Ovis aries: one gene and its partners. The protein of the gene in region 2 interacts with the protein of the main gene of each other region in a biochemical or structural test. Links are inferred from orthologs where the notes say so. Each region holds a gene or a part of one and is shown on either strand. Other genes may lie near its edges. The genes, in order: FGF6, FGFR1, NCAM1 and FGF8.

Region 1 (4,052 bases), on a different chromosome or scaffold from region 2:
TCACATATTCCCTCCCCTATTCCCCACACTTTACCAGATGAAAGTAATCACAGAAGACCGCTGGGCTTCAAGGATTCTGAGAGGACAAAACGGACATGCAAGGCTTGGCGAAACTTCTAACCAAAGCGTCATCCAGGTGAACTAAGCTGCAGGGCAGAAGGCAGGTGGACGCCACGGACTGGAGGTGGGGACCCAGGCCAAGGCTGGAGCTTACAGTTGGAGGGGAATGCATGCAGTCTCAGCGAAGGCCCTGGGCAGCAGGCCTCCTCCTAGAAGCCTTCCCCACACTGCCCGCACGCTCCACTGTGAGTGAGTGCTATTGAAATGGTTCTATGAGGTACCCTTGGCCTAGAGCAAGCTCACTCAATTCATGGAAATCTCACTTCTATGACAGGCGTCATGCAGAGGTTGCAAGCACTGGGTTTGGGCTTTGGCCACCTTTATATGTTCTGGCTTTGCAGCTTACTAGCTGTCATCATTTGGGCAAGTCACTTAAGCTTGCCCCCTGCCTCAACCTCCTCATCTTTGAAATGGGAATGAGAGCAGTCAGGTGGCCAAGGGTGAACCCCAGTAGGAAAAGGGCTGGTGACTCTGTCCAGGGCTGGACGCAGCTCCTACCCTCTGGCTGGTTGCACGCCAGGACCTGTGTGGAGAACAGAAGCCCAACCCTAGCCCCACCTCCCTCCACAATCCTCAAGACATTTGGAGACCCCCTGTCCAATCCCTGTTCTCTCTTGCTAAAGGGGTGCAGCCTTCCAGCATCCTCCCAGCCTCGGTGGCCTTAACTATGAGCTCTTTCCATGAACAGGGTGACTCAAGGGCCCCAGTCATCACCCGCCACCACGCCTCCCCCATCCCTGGCTTTACCCTTTGCCCTCTAAATAAGGAAGCCAGCGCTGCCAGGCCAAGGACTTCTGCCCAATTTGGGTCCTGGGTGGCCTCTCGCCTCCCTCTTCCCCTGGGCCCCCAGCCAACTCCCCCTCCCTCAGAGATGCGCCCTGCTCACTTCATTCCTGCCTCATAGTTGGAATGACAACAGCTCTCAGAATCTGTGGGGTGTGTGTGTGGGGGGGGTGCCGGGGGTCTGGGGAGGCAGCCAGGCCGTGGAGCAGGTTAATGTTACAGCCCTGGATAAGTGAGCTGGGCCACTTGACGTCAGGGTGATGATGGGTGGCAGGGAGGGCCAAGCGGCTGAACTATAAAGACAAGTCCAATCCGATATAATCAACTCGGGTCGGAGTGAGCGGGCCAGCCAGGCAGCGTCCCCAAGCCATGGTCCCTACCGGCCGCGGCTCAGCCTGGGTCCCTCTGCTCCAGACCCAAGTGCCCAAAGCCGGCTTTGGTTTCATGTCAGCAGCCTTCAACTGCCTTCCAAAAATAAGCCCCTGCCGCCATGCCGAGGGGAGAAAAACAAGAAGGGCGGTATTTTTAGGGCCATTAATTCTGACCACGTGCCTGAGAGGCAAGGTGGATGGCCCGGGGACAGACGCTGCTCATCACTATGTCCCGGGGAGCAGGACGTCCGCAGGGCACGCTGTGGGCTCTCGTCTTCCTCGGCGTCCTAGTGGGCATGGTGGTGCCCTCTCCCGCAGGCACCCGAGCCAACGGCACGCTGCTGGCCTCAAGGGGCTGGGGCACCCTGCTGTCCAGGTCTCGGGCCGGGCTGGCCGGAGAGATCGCAGGCGTGAACTGGGAGAGTGGCTATTTGGTGGGGATCAAGAGGCAGCGGAGGCTGTACTGCAACGTGGGCATCGGCTTCCACCTTCAGGTGCCCCCCGACGGCCGGATCAGCGGGACCCACGAGGAGAACCCCTACAGTGAGTGCCATCTGCAGCCAGTTGGGGAAGCCAGGGGATGGGACTCCAGCAGGTCTCTGGTGCCTGGGGTCCTATGATGAAGGGGGAAGGAGGATTCTCCACCTGGGTGCCCACTAGCCTAGCCACCTCCCCCAACTCGCTTTGCTCCTGCAGGGTGCATAGGCTGAGGTCTGAGCATCCTCTGCCACCCGCCCATGGAGCCCCTGCGGCATCAATTCCTTCAGTATTTCAGGCACAGCCATGGCCTCAGAGAACCACCAGGAACCCCCAGCCAGGGGGAGCCACAAAATGAGGGTGGAGAGAACCGGCAAGGATGCTTAGATCAGATTAGATATGAGCTGCTTTTTATTTCACTTCCCTCTTTGAGAGGAAAGGCAAATCATTTGCAAAATTTCCAGCTGCAGCTTGTCCTTCTTTCTAGTTCAGCTTGCCCCCACCCCCCATGCCCGCCCTACAAGTTGGTGGGTTGCTGTCTAGATGGGCTAGCCCCAGGAGGGGATGGGGCTGGAGGATCCAGGGCAGCCGTCAGACTCTGTGTGGCTGCAGTGTTTGCAAGATTAGATAGGCTGAAATGTGTTGAAATGCGAGGAGACATTTTAAACAAAGCTAATCAGAAATTACTTTTTTTTTAATCCACGTCAAGGACCTCGTGTGATTAAGCCCAGATTCGAAGCTACTCTTAGGTAGATGCCCAGGTGGCCACTGGGATCTCTAACTCCAGTGTCAGAACTTCCCCCTTGCAGAACTTGATTGTTAACAGTTCAGTAAAATGGCCCAAGCTGACAACTCAGCTTCCAAAGTGAGATCAGGGTGGAGGCAATAGAAGGCCTGACTTTCTAGAAGCAGGAGGGTGGGCCTAGATGCCCTTTGTAGGGGGGGTCACCTTTAGCTTGACATCCCACTCTGCTTTGCGCAATCCTGGGGTAACACAGCCCCTGTCTCTTTGGCAGGCCTGCTGGAGATTTCCACAGTGGAGAGAGGTGTGGTGAGCCTCTTTGGGGTGAAGAGCGCCCTCTTCGTCGCCATGAACAGTAAAGGAAAATTATACGCCACGGTGAGTCCATCAGGCCAGGGGAAGCTTCCGGCTGCACGAGGCCTGCCTGTGTGCTCAGTTGCTCAGTCGTGTCTGGCAGGCTTCTCTGTCCACGGGATTCTCCAGGCTGGAGTGAGTTGCCATTTCCTCCTCCAGGGGATCTTCCAGACTCGGGGATTGAACCTGCACCTCCTGTATTAGCAGGTGGACTCTTTACCACTGAGCCACCTAGGAAGCCCCTGCATGAGGCCTGAAGAGTGTGCAGTTGAAGAAAGTAATGCAAACTCTTGAGCAGAGATGTGCATATTCATCTAGAAGGAGGAGGGGGGCTGTGGGAGGAGCCGGTGCGAGTAAGGTGCTTGCAGCTCTGTGCTGGATCGTGTTTTTCTTGATCCCACCTGTTGGAGCCTTGTAGCAAGAAAGGAACCGTAGCTCAGAGGGCTATAGGGTCCAAGGGAAGCCAGAGCTCTGCATAAAGCTGCTGTCCAAGCTTACGGTCAGGCCCTGAGCTGGAGAGGCCCAGAGAAGCAGGCTTTGTTTCAGCCTAGACATGCTGCTCCCATGAGCCACCCTCCAGCCACAAGCACAGCCCGGGAAGAAGAAATGAAGCGCTTTTCCTCACCTTTATCAGTGTGTGGACATCTCACTTTAAGGTTTTAAGCCCTCTGACCTCTGATCCCAGCTGCCAAAGAACCATGCCTCCCACTGTACCCCCTTAGCTGGCACCAGCCTCCACCTCTGCCTTCTCCCATCACCCGTCACGGCTGGTGGGGGCAATGCTAGCACTTGGGTTAACCTCCCCAACTTCCACGTTTCCCCACTTCTCTGCTCTCTCTGACCCCTTCCTTCCTGGGTCTCCCAGCCCATAATTTTGGCATATTCCAAAACGTGGAAGGGGAAAGCATTCCTATGAAGGCAGAGACCCTGGGAGTTCTCGCGACTGAAATAAGAAGGCTAAAAAGGAAGACCTGTGAGCCATGGCCGAGGAATAGCAGAGTGACTATTTCTGGGGAGGGCGTGGAGGGCCGTTCTACCCCTGCGTGGGGACAGACGGGAGCAGGAAGTGAAAGCGGAGGCTCTGGTACCCGGGGCCGGCATCCAGGGAGGCTGTCCCAGCAGACCAGGGCTGTGAAATGCCCGAAGCGGGAGCCCAGGTGGCCTCGGCCTGTGATCTGCAGCGCTAGCACCTCTCTGTCTGTGTT
Region 2 (3,561 bases):
CTAAATACTGTTAAGTGCCAACCTAGAGAGAACTTGCCCCAGTGCTTGGGTCCCTGCCCACCTGCCTCCCAACAGCTGAGTGGAAGCCTGTCTCCTTGCCCTGCTCTCTACTCTTCCCCACAAATGCATCTTCTGTGGCTGCACCAGCTGCTAATAATCTCACCGAGTATAATTTTAGGCATTTTCTAAAGCCCAACCCCGGTGGTGATGTCAGACTTGGCCCATCTCACACCCTGAGAATTCTGCTTCAACAGAAAGGTGTTGGTGGCTTGGCACGTATGGACCTGCACCTGTGCTGTGACTAATTCTGTGTTTCAGTCATTACAGGTCGCAACGGTGATATCGAATAAATGCTCTATAGTGTTAAAACCTAAAGATCTCCTTGTCACCACCAGTGCACACCAGTAGGTAGGGTCAGACTAACGGAACTTTAACGCTGATCGACACCTTCCTTTTGCCCAGGGTTCTGGCCCGCTGGCTCCCCCCAGTGGCGGCTGTGAGAAACACAGCGACTTCACTGTCATGGAGATAAATTTCCTTCAGCCATGATTCAATCTTACTTACCTGAGATCAATATAGTACATTAGCGGTGCCGGGGGACTGGTGACCCCTGGCCTGTGGCAATTAGAAAGGGTGGGAAGGTGGTATCGACCGATGCTCCGGCCCTCATCTTTTAACCCTCAGGAAACCAGACAGACTCAGTGCCTTGACAGGATGACATCTTCATTAGATAAACTGGATCTCTTTCCTCAAGAGACCCAATCTGGTCAGCTAAGTAAAATGGCCATTTCATTTTCTCTCAGGTCAATTTCACTATCTTTGATTTGACAGCTCAGTCTCTCGGGAAATTCATGGGTGATTAGAGTAGTAATAGCAAGGACATCACTGTTACAGCAACAGTGAGCTGTGTCCCACTGCCTCTACTGAAGGCACGCAAAGCCCTTTGTGAAAGAGTGACCATCCATTCACACGACCCTGGGCCCAAACTATCATCAGTATTTTACAAGGAAAGGTGCCACTACAAGCTGTCCCACAAATGGTTTTAAAAGCTAAAGTTCATTTCCTGATTCTGTTCTTCACTAGTATATGCCCTCCTTAAACGTGAACACATATCAGAGTATGTTGATAGTTGCATATTCACAGAGCTACTCAGCAGAAAACAGAACTTTATAATGAGCCAACACTAGAAGGGGCCAAGAAACAGCTCAGAAAGGAAACTTCAGGAGCAACCCCATTCTTCCCAAACGAAACTGGACTTGCTTTTATACTTAGAAGGGATCCGGCAAAGGGCAAGCTTTGGGGGCAGAGGCTGTGAACCAACAGCCTGAGCCCTAAGGTTCCAAGGAGCCGGCACCTACTTGGTGGGGGGAGAGATAACCAGCAGGTGGCAGAGGAAGAAAATTCCCCAGCAGCCAAAATGCACCTTCACAGAATGTCTTCCTTTTCCTTAGGGCTGGGGTAGAGTTCCTGTGGGAAGAACTGGAGGAGGCCAAGTGCTAGCCCTAGCACACGCGGTCTGATCACTCGAATTCAGAATGGTATTGGCGGGGGTGGGGGTAGGTAGGCAGAATAGCCTGGGAGACAAGAAACCTGAAGCCAGGGCCCTGGGTGTAAAGCTGGTCTTAGGTAACAGGTCCTCCCTGACACAGAAGCACAGGCAGAACCATACCCACACAGAGGAGCAGCCACTCTCCTAGGTCTGAGTACCTGCCGCCCAGGGTCAAACCATCCATGACCTGCCTCTTCATCACTTCAGCCCCACTCCTGGCTCTTCGGAGCTGGGCCCTCAGCTCCCTGTCTGACTCTCAGACCCCAGAGGCTCCACATTCCCCCCAGGGAAACGTATGGTGGAGGGGGCGGTGGGGCCTGGCCCTGGGCCCAGTGACCCCTACCTGCCTTCTTTCCCAAGGCCCGGCAGAGGAAGGAGGGCTGTCCTGAGGCCTCGGAGAAGGACCCATGGGGAAGAGACCTTGGGACAGCCAGCCCCAGAGCCCGGCAGCCTCGCTCCTTCACAGTCGGCCTCCTCTCCCGTGTCACACAGCCCGTATAAAATTGAAGCAGCAGCAATTTTTATTGAGGGACCTAAACTGAAAATAGGTTTAGAACATAATTTAAAAAAATAAAACAGCAAAAGTAGCAAAAAATATATGACCTTTTTAAAAACATTTTCTTTTTTTTTTTTTTTTTTAATATATAGCAACTGATGCCTCCCAACCACCAGGAGCATCTTACCCAATGGGTAAATCTCTGGTAACGACCCTTTTAAAAAGACATGTAAATATATACTCAGATTTATACACTTTGTGTTTTCTTCGTAGCTATGTACAGAGCCCCTGCTTTGGGGCTGGGCCCCAGGGCCACGCCGCCGGCTCCCGGCCTCTGCGTCCCCACCCTCGGGTACCAGGTATTTGGTCATAAAAGCAAATTAGTATCGGAATCAATAAGCCACTGGCACTATCCGTCTGGAACAGAGGTCGCCTTCTGCGGAGGCCCGAGCGCTGACCACCTCTACACGCAACTCCCGCTGTAGCCCGAGGACCTGCCACCAAAACACGGGCACATGGGCTGTGCAGAGCAGGCAAAACCAATGCAGGAGAGCTAAGTCGGCTCTCGCTCGAGGGCGGCTCGGCCCCCACTGCCCGACCCTCCAGGCGGCAGTGGGGGGGTCTTGGTCCAACGTTTGGCAGGCCACGTAGTAGCCGTCAGCAAGGACCGGCCTCCCTGCTCCTCTGTCAGGCTGTGAGGAGGAGAGGAGGGGAGCTCGGGCGTGCGGGCCTCAGGGAGGCCGGCCAGCAGAGCGCAGGGGAGGCAGCGAGTCCAGCGGGAGGAGGGGCGGGGCCACAGTTGAGGATGGAGTCCGGGGAGGGGTGCGGGGTATGGGGCCAGTCAGCGCCGTTTGAGTCCGCCGTTGGCCAGCTGGGCCTGGTGTCGGGGCAGGCAGGGTTCCTCGGGCAAGGGCTCGTGAGAGAAGACGGAATCCTCCCCGGAGGAGCAGGTGGAGCTTCGGGTGTCGGGGAAGCTGGGGGAATATTGGTCCAGGGGCATTGACAGGTCCAGGTACTCCTGAGGGCGGAGACAAAAAGATGCAAGACCCGCACTCTGCTTCCCGCGGCGGTAGGATTCATTCCGCGAGAACTAGAATCCCGCGAGAATTCGGGCCGGTCGGCACACAGGATCTGGGAAGGGCCGCCTCACCTGGTTGGAGGTCAAGGCCACGATGCGGTCCAGGTCTTCCACCAGCTGCTTGAAGGTGGGTCTCTGAGAGGGGACTGCGTGCCAGCAGTCTCTCATCATCATGTAGCTGGGGCAGGATGGCGAGGTCGGGGTGGGGGGAGAGGACAGGCTCAGGGTGGATGGGCCGCGGGCGGCTGGCTGCGCGCCTCCTACTCCTCCCTCTACGCCCCGAGCCCAGCCCACCCCCAGGGCCCAGCCCAGGACCCCAGGCATCTTTTCTCAGGCTTACAGCTCGTTGGTGCAGTTACTGGGCTTGTCCATACGATGACCCTCCTTCAGCAGCTTGAAAAGCTCCTCCACGGGGACCCCAGGGTATGGGGAGCCGCC
Region 3 (3,561 bases), on a different chromosome or scaffold from region 2:
CGCCGTCTCAGGGCCAGGAGCCTGAGTGTGGGGGACTCTGCGATCACGGCGGTCTTTCTGGAGCCGCTGTCCTTCTTTGCAGATGCCCCCAAGCTGCAGGGCCCTGTGGCTGTGTACACTTGGGAGGGGAACCAGGTGAACATCACCTGCGAGGTGTTTGCCTACCCCAGTGCCACTATCTCATGGTTCCGAGACGGTCAGCTGCTGCCCAGCTCCAACTACAGCAACATCAAGATCTACAACACCCCATCGGCCAGCTACCTGGAGGTGAGGTGGTGTGGGGGCAGGGGTGCGGTGCAGGAGGCGTGGTCCAAGTGTGGACAGGCTGCTGGGTACAGCTGATATCCTCCCCCTCGCTTCTCTGACTCATCCTGCGCAGTGGAGCCATTGGTTGGGGAAGAAAGCCAGCCTCAGCTTGCCCCTTTATCTCGAGGAGCCAGATCAGGGCCTGGAGGGGAGCAGAGTGTTCCTTCCTCATGAGACCCCTTTTCTATTATTTAATATTTTTTTACTGAAGCATAGTTGATTTGCAGTGTTGTGCCCATCTCTGCTGTGCAGCATCACGACTCAGTCATACACAGAGATGCGTTCTTCTTTATTATCGTCTTTCCCATTATAGTTTATCCCAGGAAATTGGATGGAGTTCCCTGTGCTGTACCTTGTCATTTATCCATTCTGTATGTAACAGTTTGCATCTACAAGCTCTATGAGCTGGAGCTTTACTGATTCTACTCTTAGTTCAGTAAATAAGGATCTGAGGTTGCAGCCATTCCGTGGGACACTTATAACCCAAGCGTTCCTTCTCTCTAAAGGTGACCCCAGACTCTGAAAATGATTTTGGAAACTACAACTGTACCGCAGTGAACCGCATCGGACAGGAGTCTTTGGAATTCATCCTTGTCCAAGCAGGTGAGTGCCCCTTCCAGCTATACCAGCCTCACTCTGGCTGGTCCATTTCATGACCTTCTGTGATGACAGAATGTGGGAAGAAGGGGGAGTAAGGGTCAGCAACCAAAGGGTAAGGAGGCTGAGAGGTAAGGGGGCTTAAGGATCTGGACATGGGGTATGTTGGGAGAGAATTATTTGCTGGGGTGGACCAGGAAGACAGAATACAAATGACAAGATTTGCAGGAGTTAAAGAGAGTCATGTTTCATGATTGAATGTTACATCCTGGGCCAAATCCGGCTGACCTGGGTCTCCATCTGTGTCTTCCCCACAGACACCCCATCCTCACCGTCCATCGACCAGGTGGAGCCATACTCTAGCACAGCACAGGTGCAGTTTGATGAGCCAGAGGCCACAGGCGGGGTGCCCATCCTCAAATACAAAGCTGAGTGGAGAGCGATGGGCGAGGAGGTGTGGCACTCCAGGTGGTACGATGCCAAGGAAGGTGAGCTGCAGAGTCGGAATTTACTTGGGAATGATGTCTCTGGGCACACACACCCCTGCCTTGAGTTCACCAGATCCTGGCTTCTGACATGACACCCCCCAACTGGGGAATGCCAGATGCCACCGCCTGCCGTCCCGCTGATGTCTAGGCTGTGGTCACGTCTCATGAGAGACTTGGCCTTCTGCCACCCCAGCACTTCAGAACCTGGTTCTCAGGTGACTGTGCCAGGGCGGATGAGGCCGGCTCAGCTGCATTCCAAGCAGAAGCCCTGCTTAAGTGCTGGGCACAACCCAGAGGAGTCCTGTCTACCCTGCTCTGTGTATTTGGCCTCCATGTGCGTCAGCCATCCTGTCCTGCTTGTGTGTATTCAGGGATTGCCGTGTAATTAGGACATTAACCTAATCAGCAGAGCCAGCGAGACAGCTCTTTTAAATCAGTTCTATGATATACTTCCAAAGATTTGAAAAATGACCCTTGCACGACTGCAGTTTGAAGTTTCTGAGCTCAGCTCATCTTGCCCTGAGGATTGAATGTGTTTACGTCTGACTCTCCCTTTGAGGTTTAATTGGAATAAGTCAGTGAAGTAAGTTTTGTTTCCGTAGAAATTTTTAATCCCAGAAACGAGGGGAGAGCTGAGAATGGATTGGATTAACATGCAGTGTCACAGCAATTCAGAGACATCCTCCAACTCAGTTTTACTGAGAACTCATCCTTCCAGGAAGCAGGCTCCCATCACTCCAGCTTTGGGGAGGGCTAGGAGGACTTTCGGCATAATCAGGATTAGAACTAGAAGAAAATCATCCTTCACCTCCCTGACATCCCTCTGAAACCTCATACCAACTTTGTGGCAGGTTAATCCCATGTCCAACAGACTTTTTGTTTCCCAGTTAACTTTTTTAATGTAGTAAGATATATATAGCATGAGCTTCCCAGCTGGCACTAGTGGTAAAGAATCCACCTGCCAATGCAGGAGACACGGGTTCGATCCCTGGGTCAGAAAGATCCCCGGGAAGAGGAAATGGCAACCCACTCCAGTATTCTTGCCTGGAGAATCCCGTGGACACAGGACACTGGTGGGCTATAATCTGTGGGGTCACAAAATTCGGACATGACTTGAGTGAGCACCATATACAACATAAAAATTATTATTTTAACCATTTTTTAGTGTTCACAGTTCAGTGGCATTAAATCATTATGCGGTCACCACTGTCCGTCTCCAGAACTTTTTCATCCTAAAGTCAATACCCATTAAATAACAACTCCCCATTCCCTCCTGCCCCAGCCCCTGGCAGCCACCCTTCTCTATAGAGTTGACTCTTGATGTTGTTGTTTAGTCTCCGAGTCATGTCTGAATCTTTTGCAACCCTCTGGACTGTAGCCCGCCAGGCTCCTCTGTCCATGGGATTTCCCAGGCAAGAATACTGGAGTGAGTTGCCATTTCCTCCTCCAGGAGATCTTCCTGACCCAGGGATCAAACCTGCATCCCCTGCTTCTCCTGCAGTGGCAGACAATTCTTTCCCACTGCGTCACCATGGAAGCCCATAGTTGACTATTAATAGTCTCTATATGGTTGACTATTCTAGGTCCTTCATATAAGTGGAATGATATAGTATTTGTCCTTTTGTATCTGTCCTATCTCAGTTAGCGTGATGTCCTCAAGGTTCATCCCCGTCGTAGTGCATCAGAATGGCATGCCTTTTTAGAACTGGACAATACTCCACTGTGTGGAAGACCACGTTCTGTTTCTGCATTCATCTGTCGGGGGACATTTGGGTTGTTTCCACAGTTCAGCTGTTGTAAACAAGACGGCTGTGAATGTTTGTACAGATATCTGTTCCAGTCCCTGCTTCCAGCCCTTTGGTACATAGATCCAGAACTGGACCTGCTGGATCGAATTCTACCTTTAATCGCAGAGGGATTTGCCGTCCTGTTTTCCGCAGCAGCTGCACTATTTCACCAATAGGCATTTCCCCCTTTGTGACCCTTTACATGTTCTCACAACAGCCAGCCTGGAGGGCATCGTCACCATCGTGGGCCTCAAGCCTGAGACGACGTACGCAGTCCGGCTGGCAGCCCTCAACGGCAAGGGCCTGGGCGAGATCAGCGCCGCCTCCGAGTTCAAGACGCAGCCAGTCCGTAAGTATAGCCTGCTGCCCGGCTCATCCCTTTG
Region 4 (4,235 bases), on a different chromosome or scaffold from region 2:
GGGACCCATAAGGAAGCCCCTGGGACTTCTCTGCCATTCTCCCCCAGATTCTACCTGTCCTGGCTATACACCCTAAGCCTCTGCTCTTGGGCCCTCCAGCTCCTGCTCCTGCCCACCAGGCAGGGACCAGGGAACCTGGGAAGCCTCCTATAACTGTAAGAAGAGAAGTGGGCATCAGACCTCTGATGTCTGAAGATGAATCCCCCCATGACCAGCTTAGCTTCTTCTTCTTCGCTCCCCAAACCCCGAGGATGCTGGACCATTTGCTCCAATGGAGCAAACCCAGGAGGGGCCAGGCATTCATTCCCTTTCCTTGGAAGCTGAGAAGGGCAACGAGCAGCCAGTTTGAAGGGACAAAGGGGCGGCAGGCTGGCCCTACCAGCCCAGCAGGGGAGCTCGGCCACCGGGCAGGCCACCCCCACCCCCACCCCCACTGCAGAAAGCCCCCACTCTCCTTCCTGGATGGAGCTGGGGAGCTGGGGCAGCAGTTTACAGCGGCTTTCCCGACCGGGCTTTTGGAAAGCTTAACATTTTCAAACCTATTCTTCCACCCCAGTGACAGATTTATCCCAGGAAAATTATGTCTCCTTCTCCAGCTTTGAAGGGAAGTCAGCTACGTCGATGCAGAAAAAATGCAGCGAGACATACTCGATCCCCCAAACTGGCTCGAGAAGAGGAGAAAGTATTCAGGAAATGTTAAAAAAGGTGAAAGTAAGAAGAGTTTTAATCGCTCTGCCAGACGCGGGGGTCTCTCCAGAGATTCATAGAGAACAATCTTGAACCTCTTTTTTAACATTTACAGACTTGCAACTCCTTTCAAACTCCACATCTGAAAAAAAGGCTCGTTCTTTTTCTGTTTTATATCATTCTTCATTTTTCTTCTTAGCTCTTAAAATGCTTCACCTTTTTATTACATTTTAATAGAGTCTTCCCCTCTCCTTTCATGCTTGTTTAACTTGGTCATTATTTAAAGGTTTTTAAACTCACAATAATCGCTCTCTAAAAACAACACCAGCCGCCCAGAGGACTTGCTTTTCTCTTGGTACATCCAGGACTCTGGAAATTGGCCTTGTTTCAAGGCAGGAATATTGAATGTTTTAGAAATCAATCAGTCCTCAGCCTCTCCACCCCACAGTAGCTCCCTGTACTCACCACCCCACCGGGAGCCAGGAGCCCCGCTCTGACCGACCGCCTGGGTTCCTGGACAAGTGAAGTGGGGAAGGCCCCTTTCCTAGCCTAGTCCCCATGTGTAATTGACCCTCCTGATCAAAGTATTTAAGGTTCACAGTACACCGCCCCCCCCCCCAACCTGGGAGAGTTGAGGGGATTTCTCTCCCTTCTCTTTCCCACTCTCCTTTTGTGGGCCCTGGTGACATATCCTCTTTCAAGAGCTTCCCTTAAACCTGGGCCCCCTCCCCCTGAACCCTCTGCCTCCACCTGCAGTGGGGAGGGGTATGAGAGGGGGAGGTGGAAAGGGAGATTCCTGGATTCATTCATCTGCTGGGCAGGGAAAGGGCACCTATGGGCCAAGTACTCCCCAGGGTCCCTTCCCCAGCCCTCTCTTCTCCAGCTGACCCCCAAGATGTTTGTCGGCTTAACTCCTTCCCTTCTGAGCTGGGGAGCCTACAGGCCTCAGCTCAGCGCGCAGATGCGACTGCTGGGTCCCGTCACAGCAGGCCAGCCTGGGGAGGAGGGGCGTGCTCCGCAGGCTACCTTAACCCCAGCGCAGTGCAGCTCCTTACCGAAGGGGTCCCCGTCTTCTGCCATGGCGTTGATGCGCTTGTTGGCCAGGACCTGCACGTGCTTCCCGCTGGTGCGGCTGTAGAGTTGGTAGGTCCGGATGAGACGGCGGCTGAGCTGATCTGTCACCAGGCTCTGCTCCCTCACATGCTGTGTAAAATTAGGTGAGGACTGAACAGTTACCTTTAGGAAATTGAAAAATACACAACACGCCATTATAATGCTACCCTGCCCAGGGGCCCGAGTGGCCCCCATCACCCGGCACCTCCCTCCACTGCCCCAGGCAGCCGGCAGGGGCTGGGGTCCCCCCAACATGCCAGTTCGGACCACCCCCACCCTACCCAGGAAAGTCGGACAGACCCAGTCTAGCATGGATGCGCCCGGGATGGGGAAGGATCTGGACCCACCTGTTGGGAAACACCCTGGGACTCCCGGCCAGCTCGGAACAGGGAAGCGAGCTCCCTGCCCAACGCAGGCCCCCCGCCCGGGCCTTCCTAGAAGAGCAGGGCGCTTTTAAGTCGGGAGGCAGCGCGGCCCGACCCCTGACATTTATAAAGACAAATTCACGGAGCAAATGTGGAGACCGCAGAAGCCCTGGGCACCTGGTCTTTCGGCCAGACCCGCCGCAAGTCTCTCCAGAGAGCCGCGGAGAGGGTCCCTGAGGCCGTCACCGGACCTCTGACATCGAACGCCCCCTGCCCCGAATGCCCCCTTCCTCGGCGCGGCCGGGACTGGCTGCCGCCGAGTTCCCCAACCACCCCCACCGGGCTGGGAGGCGTGGGAGACAGCGCCGGACTCCGAAACCTCGGGTTCTAGCCTCGCGCGGCTCACAGGCTGTGTGACCTGAGGCCGGCGCTACCTCTCTGGTCCTTAACCCCTCCTCGGGATAGTTAGGGGTTGCTGTTCTAAGATGCTTCCCAGCACTTCCAGCCCGCCGCGCGGCCGCGGGGTCGGTCCTCTTGCCCCCGCCTGCCCGACCTCGCCCCCCGGCGTGCCCCGCCGGCCCCGGCGCAGTGCGCCTTACCTGGGCTTGGAGGCAGAGAACCAGCAAGTGCAACAGCCTGTGGGAGACAAAAGCGGGCGGGGAGAGAGGGGCGCGGGGTGAGTGGCGGGCGGGCCGGCGGGCGCGCGGCCGGGGGCGCGGGACGGCGGTACTCACAGGCAGCTCAGCGCCGAGCGGGGGCTGCCCATGGCGCGCGGCCGGGGAGCACCCACAGCCCCGGCGGGATCTCGCCGGCTCGCGGGAGGCAGCGGACCGACGAGCCGAGGGCGGCGGCGGCGGAGGGGGGCTCGAGGGTGGCTCGAGGCCGGGAGCCGGGGCGATCGGGACGCAGCTCCGCGGGTCCCAGGGAATGTCGAGCTCGCCGCGCCGCGCCGAGTGCCTCTGCGCCGCAGCCGGAGCCGTTGGCCGCTGGCTGCTGAGGAGCCGGAGCGGGAGGGAGGGTAACGGGCCGGCAGGGGGGGTGGGTAAGTGGGAAGGGAGGGGGAGGGGTGGGGGCGGGGGGCGCCGCACCGGGCGCGAGGGGGGAGCGCGGGGCGGGCGGCCGGAGCCCGCAGCCCCCGGCTGGGAGCGGGGGCCCGGACGCAGCCCGGGGCGGGGGCGGGGCGGACCGGGGCGGGGCGGTCGGAGGGTCGGGGATTGGGGGTCTGGGTGAGGGGAGGGGTCTGGGGACCCGCTGCAAGGGGCGAGGGCTGCCTGTCTGGGCCCCTCTCCGCATCCCGGACTTGTCCCCTTGCGCGTTCTTGGGGTCCAGGCGTGCGGGGATGGGGGCGCATCGGGCCGCCCACCCTGTGGAGTCCCGAGACCCTCTGCTGGGGCTTCCTGGACCCCCCGGGCGCCCGAGTGGGAAGGCGCCCGGTCTCCACCGTGGGACCCGGTCCGCTTAAGCCTCAAGCTAGACAGCGGTTCTCTGAGCCACCTACTGTGTGCTTTGTCTGTCTGGGGCTGCCGCCTGCAAGTAGCCTCCAACACTGGGGTGAACGCTTGTGCGCTTTCCTCTGGCAGTGCGCGCCTGTGAGACCGGGAGCCGACAACCACCCCCATCTTTCTGCTGAGTACCCTGCCTTGCCGGTCTCTCCTGCATCGCTCAGTCACCAAGAAGGCCCTGAGATCGAGAAACATCTCCTTTCCTGCTTCCTGCCCTCATTATCACCATCACCCCTGCTCCTGTCCCTCCCGCCCCCAACACGCTAGACTGAAGCCTGACTACACCACCCAAAAAGGAGAGAGCCCACCCATAGGGAAAACCCCAGTCACTTGCCACCACCATGCCCTCCCCAAAGCGGCAGGCAGTGGGCGCAAAAATAACCTCAGCTGCTTTTCCAGGAAAGAGGCTTAGATCCAGGTTGCCTAGTCTTTTTCGCTCAGACTCCCATTATTTGTGCACTGAACAGGTATTTACACACCTACTGTGTGCTAAACCTGGACTGGTGCTTTGTCAACCCTGGGGGAGGGGGAAGTATCAAAGAAGGTAGTGAGTTGTCTAAGCCTTTCC

Evidence for each region.
Region 1: the proteins of FGFR1 (region 2) and FGF6 interact in a biophysical measurement, tested with the Homo sapiens proteins (2 studies listed by BioGRID and IntAct, with this or other methods). The link is inferred for Ovis aries from reciprocal best matches to the Homo sapiens genes FGFR1 and FGF6.
Region 3: the proteins of FGFR1 (region 2) and NCAM1 form a complex in vitro, tested with the Homo sapiens proteins (2 studies listed by BioGRID and IntAct). The link is inferred for Ovis aries from reciprocal best matches to the Homo sapiens genes FGFR1 and NCAM1.
Region 4: the proteins of FGFR1 (region 2) and FGF8 interact in a biophysical measurement, tested with the Homo sapiens proteins (2 studies listed by BioGRID and IntAct, with this or other methods). The link is inferred for Ovis aries from reciprocal best matches to the Homo sapiens genes FGFR1 and FGF8.

The regions. Positions count from the first base shown.
Region 1 is NC_056056.1:211,494,714-211,498,765, forward strand, and holds the start of FGF6 (fibroblast growth factor 6), read left to right. Parts: upstream 1-1,222; 5' UTR 1,223-1,471; coding exon 1,472-1,817; intron 1,818-2,767; coding exon 2,768-2,871; intron 2,872-4,052. UniProt on the Homo sapiens protein: Plays an important role in the regulation of cell proliferation, cell differentiation, angiogenesis and myogenesis, and is required for normal muscle regeneration.
Region 2 is NC_056079.1:32,638,970-32,642,530, forward strand, and holds part of FGFR1 (fibroblast growth factor receptor 1), read right to left. Parts: coding exon 3,464-3,561; intron 3,302-3,463; coding exon 3,196-3,301; intron 3,064-3,195; coding exon 2,887-3,063; 3' UTR 1-2,886. UniProt on the Homo sapiens protein: Tyrosine-protein kinase that acts as a cell-surface receptor for fibroblast growth factors and plays an essential role in the regulation of embryonic development, cell proliferation, differentiation and migration.
Region 3 is NC_056068.1:23,481,060-23,484,620, forward strand, and holds part of NCAM1 (neural cell adhesion molecule 1), read left to right. Parts: intron 1-82; coding exon 83-267; intron 268-812; coding exon 813-909; intron 910-1,220; coding exon 1,221-1,391; intron 1,392-3,395; coding exon 3,396-3,527; intron 3,528-3,561.
Region 4 is NC_056075.1:22,294,039-22,298,273, forward strand, and holds the start of FGF8 (fibroblast growth factor 8), read right to left. Parts: upstream 2,832-4,235; 5' UTR 2,113-2,831; coding exon 1,743-2,112; intron 1-1,742. UniProt on the Homo sapiens protein: Plays an important role in the regulation of embryonic development, cell proliferation, cell differentiation and cell migration. Required for normal brain, eye, ear and limb development during embryogenesis.